3 linked regions of the Oryctolagus cuniculus genome follow. The protein of the gene in region 3 interacts with the protein of the main gene of each other region in a biochemical or structural test. Links are inferred from orthologs where the notes say so. Each region holds a gene or a part of one and is shown on either strand. Other genes may lie near its edges.

What was found.
Region 1: the proteins of EEA1 (region 3) and RAB31 form a complex in vitro, tested with the Homo sapiens proteins (2 studies listed by BioGRID). The link is inferred for Oryctolagus cuniculus from reciprocal best matches to the Homo sapiens genes EEA1 and RAB31.
Region 2: the proteins of EEA1 (region 3) and RAB5C form a complex in vitro, tested with the Homo sapiens proteins (2 studies listed by BioGRID and IntAct, with this or other methods). The link is inferred for Oryctolagus cuniculus from reciprocal best matches to the Homo sapiens genes EEA1 and RAB5C.

The regions. Positions count from the first base shown.
Region 1 is NC_091441.1:66,884,570-66,888,652, reverse strand, and holds the start of RAB31 (ras-related protein Rab-31), read right to left. Parts: upstream 2,801-4,083; 5' UTR 2,633-2,800; coding exon 2,594-2,632; intron 1,495-2,593; exon of another isoform or gene 1,480-1,494; coding exon of another isoform or gene 1,459-1,479; intron 1-1,458. UniProt on the Homo sapiens protein: The small GTPases Rab are key regulators of intracellular membrane trafficking, from the formation of transport vesicles to their fusion with membranes.
Region 2 is NC_091448.1:20,642,926-20,647,019, forward strand, and holds the start of RAB5C (ras-related protein Rab-5C), read left to right. Parts: upstream 1-1,294; 5' UTR 1,295-1,453; intron 1,454-1,633; exon of another isoform or gene 1,634-2,369; intron 2,370-4,094. UniProt on the Homo sapiens protein: The small GTPases Rab are key regulators of intracellular membrane trafficking, from the formation of transport vesicles to their fusion with membranes.
Region 3 is NC_091442.1:95,678,650-95,682,149, forward strand, and holds part of EEA1 (early endosome antigen 1), read right to left. Parts: intron 3,314-3,500; coding exon 3,191-3,313; 3' UTR 1-3,190. UniProt on the Homo sapiens protein: Binds phospholipid vesicles containing phosphatidylinositol 3-phosphate and participates in endosomal trafficking.

The DNA of each region.
Region 1 (4,083 bases), on a different chromosome or scaffold from region 3:
AATTTCAAACAGGTAGTCTAAAGAAACCCAACGCCCCTGAACCCTTGGTCTTCCCAGAGCACAAAGCATCCAGGGAATGTTCCACAGGCCACTGTCAGCCCCATCTGGGAGCACTCACCAAGAGAAATAAGAGCAGACACGCCCAACATGCCGAGAAAACAGCCGAGCGGCCAGGGTTGTGAAAGCGCAGGAACAGGTAACAACGTCATCACCAGCAGACAGAACCTTCTGACACTCCACCTCAGGCAGCTAGAGCCAAAGTCACCAGCTGGCACTGCCAATGCCCCAAACAGCCGTACCTTCAATGGGAGGCATGTCCCCAAGCCATCAATGGGCAAATGGTCAGACACAGGATATCACCCCTCCAGGCTCTCCTAGGAGACAAGCAGACCCTGTATGAGGCCCTCTGGGCAATGGAGGGTGTGGCTGCCAGGGTCTGTGCGGCCTCAAAGAGGTGCGGCCTGGCTAAAAAACAGGAAGCTGAGTGGCAACTATGCACAAGACTTCACCCAGAGCAGCCAGACCTCCCTCTCAAAGAGTGCAGGCCCTGGGGAGCCTGGCACGCCCTCTTCCATCCACTGACCCTCACGGCCTTGCACACCAACAGGGTACGTCTAAAGCAGTTAAGGGCCCTGACGTCCCCAAGTGCGACATCAGCCAGATAACTGCCCTATCCAATGAGCACCTCCAAGGACAGCCTGTAGCATGCATCTGGCCCAGGAAAAGACCTGCCAAACCACCGGGACTTAACAAAGACAACTCAGTGTGGTTTATCAGGTCAGCCGCCCTTTCAAATAAGATACCCTCTGACCTCAATGAGACTGCAAGAGCTACCCTCAAAAGCAGGAGCCACACACTGATGTCCCCAAGCCACTTTCTGCCCAGAAATCTCTTCCCTGTCTCAATCAGCAATGTTCTGCCCCTCCAAGTTCAATTTCCTACCAACAGAGCCATCTCAAACAGTTAGCATAGGTGAGACTGGGCTCCAGGAAGCTGCCCAAAGAGTCTGTTTCGCTCTTGGAGATGCAAACAACAACAACAACAAACTAAACAGAACTTTTCCTACAGCTTGCTGTCACCCTGGGATCACAGATCACCAAGAATGCCACCATGGATCTTAAGGGATCATCTGGCAGAGTCCTCCACCTTAAAAGGCAAGCTGTGATTCTGTCCATTTTACAGATGAGACGGCTGAGTTCTTGTCCAAAACTGCACGGCTGGTTGGTGGGAAAGAATGAGAGCCCAGGTTTCCTGCTTCCTGATACAGGGCCTTTGCCACCTGATCCATGTCCACATAGAAGGCTGGACCCTAAACAATGATTGAAAATATGAAGTCACACGACGGGAGAAGCCCTGTGCCGCCTAAGTAGATGATTAGGGATAAAGTGTCACTCACATACACACACACACACCCCACATGCATCCAAAGTGCTCTCGGTCATGTGGGACGCAACATACCCGAACCTCCCAAGGAAGCATGGACTCTGGTCATTCTGGACAGACTAGAAGACAGGAGGCCCCCTCCTGCCACGTTGAAAGGCAAGAGGGACCCGAATGGCATCCTTCCAGGTCCAGGCTGCTGCCGACCAAGTCCAGAGGGCTGGGAAGTCTCAGGCAGTCTGAGGCTAGCGCCATCCAGTGAGTGTGAGTCACGGGCAGGGGGTAGGGCTGGGGAGGACACAGTTCTGCCCACCGATGGTTCCAGAAGGGCCTGGATGAAGCCCAGAGCCGCCCGCGGTCTGGTTCCACAGAGTCCTAACCTGGACACACCTCTGTCCTTCCGTCCCATCTGACTGCTTAGCACTTCTGAGGCCCGTCAGAAGGGGTCTAATCCTTCCACTGCTCTTTTAAGGGAAACGGAGTTCTTGGGAGGCAGATTTGGCCAACCGCAAGGGCGGCACACCAAGCCACCAGGCCAAAGTCTGCAGGAAACACGGCCTGCCTTTAAAAGCAGCAATTCTGGAACTGGATGTGGCCCCCAAATGGAAGGGACCCTCAAACATCCCCGAGTCCCCAGGGCCGCCAGAGCGCTGCGCACCCGTTTCTGGCTACTCCTTCGGGTTAAGACACAGCCCGCTGAGGAGGGGAAGTGGTGATGGGGGCCTCTCTCCGCCTGCTGCTGCTTGTCCCCAGCTCCAAAGGCCGCCGCACCCCCAGCCCTGTCCCTTCTGCCCCCTCCAGCCCGGCCACCCTCAGATGGCTCACCTAGGGCTCGGCTTTTATTTATTTATTTATGTTTGATAAACCAACGGCTCCAGGAGGCACACGAAGACGGGGGCCTGGGCTGAGGAACTTAAACTTGCGGGCGGAAGGAAATTATCAAAGACGAAGACGAAAGCTCTCCCGGGCCGCCGCGCCTCCAGTCCCCGCCGAGGGAGCCCGGGCGCCCCTGCCCGGCCCGCCCGCAGCCCGGCGAGGCCCGAGCGGCTCCGGGCGGGGAACGCGCCGGGGCCGAGGCGGAGCGAGTGGAGAAAACTCGGGGACGGCTCCGGCTCGGGGCGCACGCTGGGGCGCGGGGAGCGCACAAGCCTGGGGCTGGGGGCGCTCGGAGGCGGGCGCGGGGCAGGGACAGGCGGAGGGGGCGCGCACTCACCCCGAGAAGGCACACTTTGAGCTCGCGTATCGCCATCATGTGCTCGGGGCCGCGTCGGCCGGGGGCTCAGCAGCATCGTCCGGGGCCGGGGCCGCTGCGCCCGCCCAGCCTGCGTCCCGCGGCTCGGCCCCCGCGCCAGCCCGCGGGCGGAACCGCCGCCGCTGCTATTTCTGGGCCGCGCGCCGCGCCGCGGCCGGTCACGTGGCCGCCGGCCGGCTCCTCCCGGGAGCCCGCGGAGCGGCTGGGCGGCTGGGACGGCCTCCTGGGCCCCCTGGGCATCCGCCCCTCGCCGCCCCGCCCCAGGGGGTGGAGGCACGGGCCGGGCTGCGGGCAGACCTGGGCGCAGTGGACGCTGCTGCTCGCCCGGCCGCTTCCTTCCGACGGGGGCCCTCGCCGGGCAGTGGGCGTCCCGCCGCTAACCGCCCCGGTGGTGCCCCCCGGTAGCAGTCGGGCCTGAGCAGAGGGGCGACCGTGCGGCCGCCTTCTGCAGTTCCTAGCGCCTGGGCCTCGCTTTGCGGCTTCATAGCTCGGGTTCAGTTCTCTGTACGTAACTGAAGATGATTCTAGAAGCATTGGTCTCTTCCTGCCTCCACAAGTGGCATTTGGGAGAGGGGACCCGCCTTCTCCGTGAGACAGTTCGTGCTGGGGCCAGACGTGGAACCAGAAATGCAGAGTTGCGGGCAGACCAGGTGAAGAGGCTGCAACTTGGGAGAGTGGCCGCTGGGTTCCTGTCCCTGCTCCACGCACCTCATATGCCCTCCTCTGTTGCTGCTGTAAGCCAGCTAAATAATCCACTGGTATTTCAGCTGGGAAATTTTTTTAAGACTTTTTAAATTTTTATTTTCTATCTCAAAGAGTGACAGAGAGATCCTCCATCTGCTGGTTCACTCCTCAATTACTGGCCACAGCCAGGGCTGGGCTAAGTCAAAGCCCGGAGCTGGGAACTCAGTATGGGTCTGCCCAGGCACTCTGACCATCATCTGCTGCCTCCCTAGGGTGCGCATTAGTAGGGTGCTGCATCAGAAGCAGAGTAATGAGGACTCAAAGCAAGCACCCAGACATGGGATGTGGGTATCCCAAATGGTATCTTAACCTGTGCACCAAATACCTGCCCCCTCAACGCCAGCTTTCAAAATTTCATCCTTTGGGAACGGCAGTGTGGTGTAGCGGGTTAAGCCACCACCTGCATCCCTGGCATCCCATATGGGTGCAGATTCGTGTCCCAGCTGCTCCATTTCTGATCCAGCACCCTGCTAATGGCCTGGGAAAAGCAGTGGAGGATGGCCCAAAGCAGTGGAGGGTGCCACCCTTTTAAGAGACCTGGAAGAGGCCGGCGCCGTGGTTTACTAGGCTAATCCTCCGCCTGTGGCGCCGGAACACCAGGTTCTAGTCCCGGTCAGGGAGCCGGATTCTGTCCCTGTTGCTCCACTTCCAGGCCAGCTCTCTGCTGTGTCCCGGGAGGGCACAAGTCCTTGGGCCCTGCACCCACA
Region 2 (4,094 bases), on a different chromosome or scaffold from region 3:
GCCCGGCAGCCACTCCCTCACCATACCCCAGAGCCCTGTTGTCACCTCCAGCAAGGGCAGAGGAGCCAAGCAATCCACTTGGCACCACATTCACGCCACCAGGGGCCCCAGGGATGAGGAAGAGACCTTAATGAGTCACCACGGGCCTGTTATGTGCCCTCCTCCCCCCCTCACCAGATACACGTATGTGGGAGGGACAGAGTCCTGGCTCAGGCCTACCTCCAGCCTTGGCAAGGAGTGCCCAGGGGACTCCCTACCCTTCCTACCCAGGGAGGGGTTGCTGGGCTCCGTGCAGCAGGCGCTGGGAGAAGAGCTGGGCACCAGCCAAGCTCCTGGTGGGAATCTCACCCTGCCCCATGCCCCCTGCCCTCCCAAGCCCTCCCAGCTTTCACTTCTCTGATGGTGGCTGCCAGGAGGAGGGGAGCTGTGGATGTTCTAAAGAAAGAAGCACCTGCTAACCAGCTGCAGCCAGATGTGCAGCCAGATTCTGCAGCTCAGCCTCTAGGCTACGACGGGTGATGGCGGCTGTCACAGACAGATTCCATAGGGCTTTTGGGTAGCGTCCCTGAGGAGTGAGAGGAAGAAATAGGAGAGGTACTGGCTTGTGTTGGGAGGTGAGGGGCTGAGGAGGGGAAGGGGGGGCGGGGAGAATAAGGAGAAGTGGCCCTAAACCTGAGGGAGAGGCGTCGGAAATGTCTCAACCTACGTGGGGGTGGGGATTCCAGCTGAGGCAGCAGGTATCCAGCTCTGTATCTGCTTCCAGTCGGGTGTGGGGAGGGGTAGAGGGGCAGAGGTGGTTCTGTGTGTCTAGGGACCAGCCCAACGCAGGAGGGTTTATAAAGCGCCCCCTTCTATGTCACCTAGCATCCCAGAGCGCCTTCCCCATCACACAGTGCCCCCAACTTCAGGAAGCGTGGCCAGGGGCTGCTCCCAGTTAGCGAGTGCACGAGACCCACGCGGCCTCCCGTACGAACTCATTCACATCACGTTTGCCCCCTCCCCAGTTCTACACACACAGTCGTCTGCCCTCTCCCATCGCTCCGCAGCCATTCGCCTTCCCTCGGGGCTCCTGGAACCCGCAGTGACGCGATTAGCAGCCCAGGCCGGCTCCGCCTCGCCCCAGCCGGCTCCACCCTAAGGCCAAGTCCCAAGCAGGCGACGGCTCCGCCCAGTGCTGCGAACTACAAGTCCCGCCGTCCCTCGCTCGCTCTCTCCCGCCTCTCCCGCGACCCTCACCGGCACCGCCTATGGGTCGGCCAGGAGGGCCTCCCATTGGCTTCTCCGCCCTGTCAGTCACCTGGGAGTAAGAGGGGCGGGGCGGAGGTAGAGATCCGGATCCGGAGCGGCTGAAAGGCGGAAGTGGAGGCCGGAGCCTGGGACACCGCCGGGGGGGAGAGGAGCGAAACCTGTCCGAGCCCCGTCCCCAAGTAACGCCGCCGTCCCCGGAGCCGCTGTGAGTGTGCCTGTCCTGGGATCCAGTGTCTCTCCAGCCCAGTTGCCTTTGCGGGGCAGCCCTTCCTTCTGCCCAGCCCTATCTTAGGGGGATACTGACCCCTCCCCCGACCCGTAGCCCCTTCTTAAGGCGCTCCGCAGGCGTCAGGCCACAGGAAGATCCCTTCTTTCCTCGACTTACCTGCCCTTTGTGAACCTTGGGGAAACCCCTGCGGCTCTCCTCTGGCCTGTCCAGTCCAGTCGCGGCGGAGAGGGACCCTGAGTTCCGCTCTCCCTGCTCCCAGAATCGGCCGGTCTTTGCCAGGTGTGCAGGAACCTGCCCCTCTTCTCCCGTAGAGGTGGCGGGGAGGGCTGTCTGTCGCCGTGTCCCCCCCACCCCGGTCCCACAGAAGCAGTTGTCCCCCGCCAGCCCTGGAGAAGTCTTGTCTCGATTTCCTTTGGGGGAGGGTGGTCTGGGGGAGGCGACTCCACGCGCATAGAAGTGTGTGTGCTCCCACAACTCCCGACTCGTTCTCCCTCCTCCAGCCAGAGAGCCAGCCAGGACCTCAGCGGAGTCTGGGGCGCGGGGCACTCCTTGGGAACGAGCAGCCTTCTTGTTTTGTCCCCGCTGTCCCCCGGCCCTGTCCTCTTGAGTGTATCTCTCTTCCTGCCTCTGAAGAATTCAGCTGAGGTTTGCTCAATGCTAGGTCAGGGTGGCTCTGCCCATTCATTATCTTCTGGCTCCCCTACTCCTCCCCCTCGGCTCCAGGCTCAGCCCTGTCCTCCCGAGAGCACGTGAGCGGTTCCCCAAGCTGCCTCTGCGGGACTGCCTTGTCCGCTGGGCTGTAGAGGAGAGAATAAGCCCAGAGAAGTGAGGAGCTGGGGCTTGAAGGACCGTTTCTTTGCTGCTCCCAGACACACACACTCGACCGCCGCCCCAGCAACAGGTCCACCCTCACCGGGGCCTCGCCTCAGTCCCCGGGGCTTGGACGTACTACAGACCAATGAGTCGAGGGCACAGTGGCAGTCTTGGGTTCTTAGCTAATTTCTGTAGCAAGAGGAGTTCCCAAATCTGCTAGAAAGGGCTGCCCTCCCCTCCCCCCGGCTGTTTTGCCATAGGATCCTACTCTGTTGTTTAGGAACTGGGTGTGTGAAATGGCTGCTGTCTCAGACCAGGCTAGACCGTTCTGTTACGTGGCCAAAGTACAGGCCAGAGACTACCTTAATGAGGAGCAGCTTGCCTGAGGCCAGGACTGACCCTTGCTATCTGCAGGGGAGGAAGGGAGGAGAGCCCCACGCTGCCGGAATCGCCGGAGCTCCTGGTGTTCCTGGGCCGCCCTCACTGCCCTTGGCTGCTGCTTCCCAGTGTTAAAGGTGTTTCTGCTTTGAGATCTTTTTTGCTGCTCTGGACAGTTGCTAGTGTGTGGTCCCTACAGTCTTTTGAGCTCGGTCTTGAACGCACTTGTTTCACTTTTTATTGGACAACAAAGCAAAACTTCCTTATTGGGCTCAACAGCTGGATCACGAGCCCTGAGCCCGTGTGGGCTCCTTGGAGACTTTGTCCGCCCTCCTCATCGGACCTGGTGGGGCTGTGGGGCTGAGGGCAGGGCCGCTGGTTCTGACGGGGTGGGCCGTGGCTGGCGGAGCGCTGCAGCAGTGCAGGGATGAGGCCGAGCGGCCGTCCGAGGGGTTCTTCTTTGCGTTGCAGCTCTGACTCGGAAGCAGGCTTCGGGAAGAGCAGCTCCCTGTTCAGAACAGTGGGGAAGGCTGTACAGCTCTGGGTGGCTGTGTAGCCACTCTGGCCTCCAAAAATTAAAGCATCGTAACAGGACGAACCCTGCCTGGCAGAGGGAGGGCTCTGTGTGGGGCAGAAGCCCCTCCTCTCTAACATGTTCCCTCCTTCCCTGGGCCCGTCACAGCGAGCTGGCCTTTTTTCTGCTGCTATACTACAGGGTGATGGTAACTGCTAATTGCTTTAGGTCATTGCAGAGTTGCAGACTTCTTTTCACACACGTCCCTCACACGTTCCTTGGGAGGTAGTGAGATTTGCATTTCCACATTGGAGATGATGCCTAAGACCACGCGGTTAGGAGGTGATGGCGCTGAGGCTTGGGATCTGGGCTCAGATGTGACCTCGGCCTTCCCTAGTGACTGGCCCTTAAATGAATGAACAGGTAGGGTGAGCATCAGGGGCACAGTGCAGGCTCTGAGCCCCTGCACCATCCTTGTCCCTGGCGCTGCTCTGCTTCCCATCTCTTCCCCCATCTTCACCCCGGCCTCCTGGCCTCCTCCTTGGCCCCCTGTGCTCTGCCTGCAGGGGCCCTGACAGGAGTTGGTGCTCTGCAGGGCCCAAGTTCGCTGACATCTGACTGCCGTCAGTTTCCTGGGAACCTGCCGGCTGATGGTTGGAAAGTGAAAGTGAAAGCCACTGGGCTCGGGGGCCTCCTGGGCCCCAGTGAGGGCGGGAGGGCCTCCGGCTGCCCTGCAGTGCTGCCCGAGGTGACGCGCCTTCACTTGAATTTACTGGAAACAAGGAGGTCAGGAGTTCAAGTTCAGCCCTACCAAGCAAGTGCTTCTTAGAAGAGGCTTCTTCCTGTAACCCCTGCCCAGCACACACAGAGGCGGTGTGGTGGGATGGGGGGCACTAGGGCTTTGGAGTCAGC
Region 3 (3,500 bases):
TATGAACATATGATCCAGTTCAAGGAAGTACAGAATGTCATATACATAACTGTATCATCTTTACAATAAATTCTTTACTTCTACACAAAAAGGACCTAGTGATTCCCAATTCTATTTTATACAATTTTACATAAATTTAGTAAGTTTATGCACAATATTCACATCTGCAACAATAACAAATTGATCATTAAAATTCAGGCAAAGGGCAATTAAGACATGATAATGTGTGGCACATTAAAATTACAGAATACCATTCATCAAGCTCATGTCCAGGAATACTAAATTGATGGCACATTTATTAAATCTATGGATCAAATCATCCATGGTTTTATAGCCAAAGTGCATTTCAAAAAAAAAATTGCTAGTCAAACAGGTCATGAATATCAAAATATATGATCATAATTTGCTCTTCACTTAAAAGCTAAACATTTTTATGCAAATGCAAAGTTAAAAAAGTGGCTTTGAAATTCTCAGAACTATATAAAACAATCATAAAGACTTTTTGAAGGATGGGAAAACAACAAATTTGGCAGTTACTATTTAACATTACTGTAAAGAAACTATTAAACTGGCTAACTCCACATTAAGAGGTAGTTGAACAAAATGTTATTTGTATACTTCATTGAGGTTTTTGTGTTTGTTCCCTTTTTCCTTCAAAATGAGCAAGTCCTATACTAGCAGCTTTGTCTTCTTTCTATTAAAAAATTCTGTAGGTTTATCTTACTCTAACTACCAAGCAAGACTTGGTTTTAACTCACATTCCTGTGCTGGAGTTTGCAATTTACTAACGTGATGTCAATATGTTTTACATTAGAGCCAAGAGCTGGGATTCCATATGTGTCAGCTCTAACTCACCAACAAAATAATAGTACCAACAAACATCTAAACTATATAGCCAACAATAACTCAGAAGAGGACTTCTTAATTAAAATGGGGGAGGGGCTTAATTTTTATTTCCAAAACATATTAAATTAAAGAAAATTAACAGTGAAAACATCAGGTTTCATTTTTTGTATGATCAGTATAGTAGCCTAAGGTACATAAATTATTCAGGACATATGAAATCAGATTACTTGTATAAAAAAAAAAAAAAACAAGAAAAAATCACTCAAACACACATGGTTTTATTTGTGTGTCCACAATTTGTGTGTGTGTGTATATGAAAATGAGGGGTGGGGATTACCAGGAAATTCCTGTAGTGTATCCAATTAGGAGATGAGAACAGATATTCTAATCCAGAATTCTCGTTAAGTTTTATCTTAAAAAGAAAACGATACAGTGGTGCTGGGAGTATCTTTGATTTTCTAATACATTTAATTTATTAAATAAATGTAAAAGTATAGGATTAAGACTATTTGAAAGGATCTATAAGTATACAAAAAGCATAAAACATCTTAGGTTATATTATCCAACTATTATTTTTGATAAAGAGCCACTGTATTTCTTTATTATATATGCTCAAGAATATATGTTTATCCAAATCCTGGAACTTAATCAGTGTCAATAGTTATTGACAACATGGTTTACTTAAAATGTTTTTTAAATAATGAAATAAGTATGTGACAATCTCCATTAGTTTATATATATCCTAGATATAGCATAGACATAATTTCATTTCAGCAATATTTGAAAGTGTACATTATAAACTATTGTAAATGACATATTAACTCCCATCCTTGGCTATTGTTATTAAATGATTGCATTAAATTAATGTATAATTTTCCATATCTTTCCTTGGACGATGAATAAACAAATATTAATGATTCTTCAATGTTTTCCACTTTTTCAAATCAACAAAATTATGATAAATTAATGCTCAGTTAAATCGTTTAGCCTTCAAGTTGGCTGATCCTTAATTATTCTTAAGATGCTTAGCTATTCAGTTTCAGTCTTTATGGCAATTTTGAGTTTTTTTAAATATAAATGTTTTGGGTGAAGCTCTATTCTCCAGCTGTTACTTCAAGGTAATTTTTTATATCATTATATATAAAAAAGTATTCCCAGTTGATGTGGAATCCAACCCAGAACGATTTTAAGCTTAAGTCAATTGTATAATTTTTTAAAAATTTTTAGAAGAAAATATAAAGCAGAATATTTAATATCTTCTTACCATTTCTTATTTTGTTTTCATAGATACAACTATTACAATTTAATTACTAGCTTTAAGGTGGAAAATATGAAACAATTACAATGAAGCTGAGCTATGCTTGGAAAGATTAAGCCAAGAAAAGGGAAAACAGATCCATTAAAAAAGGCAAACTCACTTTCCTAAAGATGATGGAGAGAAAAAAGAAGGGTATGATAAGAAGGCTAGTTTCAGAAAACTCCCCAATTACAAGCAAACAAGAATAGGACCATTACACAGTGTCTAATATTCATCCTGCAGCTGAGGGTAAGGGTAGGAAGTTTTGTAGTATTTTAAATAGACACTATGTGGGAGTTAGAAAATGATACAGAAAAATACAAAAAGAAAAAAGAATATTAACCCTAACTTTAAAATACAATCCCAGGATAACCATAAAGTACACAAATTAATTTTACAGAGGTTCTCATAAAATGTACCAGAGAATTTAATCAATATTGTTAAAAACAAAAACCAAGTTAAAATTCATGTTTAATACAGATTTTGACATGAACTATATTTAGAACACCCAAGTAGTAAATTTATTACATAATATAACTGAGCTGTGAACCTATGTATAAGAGGAAAAGGTAGCCAGAAATTATTACAGTTTTGTGCATGACTCCACAAAGATAATATTTAATATGATTAATGTGTTGTGCAACAAAAACAGCAATAAGTGATAACATCATTCATGTATATTTCTGTATATTAAAACTGGGAAAAACAAGCTATGGAATTCACCATTATGAACAATGAAATTATATTAAAAAAATACATTGCTATTTTCTGTTCAAAGTTTATTTACATTTCATTGGCTGATTTTAAACTTAGCATGAAAGCTGTTCTAGTGGCTAAATGAAAAAAAAGTAATGAAAGATGAGCCCAAGTCTCACAAAAATAGAAGACTTTTACTTGATATTGATAACATTGCAAAATATACGAATTCTAATTTGGTCTAGTGTGGCAACCACTGTCCCAATCAAACAGTAGTCCATGAATTCTATTAAGTATATTTATTAAAAATCTATTGTTAGTGTACTATTACTCTGAAGTTGTGATAATCCATTATCCTTGCAAGTCATTGAAACATGCATCACAGACACGAACAGGCTTCTTGGAAGAAGGAGTTAAGGCATTTTTGGCTGAACACTCAGCACAGAAGATATTCCCACACTGTCGGCAATGATGCTATAAACGACATAAAAGAAGAAACACTTTCAAGCATAAAATTATATGGAAAGTATATGAAACTATACGAATATAGCAAACTACACTGTAAAAGTATATTAACGTTTGAGTGACTGGTGTATTGTTTAGTGACGTATTTCAATGTTACCTTAATCTTTTTGTTAAAATAAATGCTTTCTACTTGTTA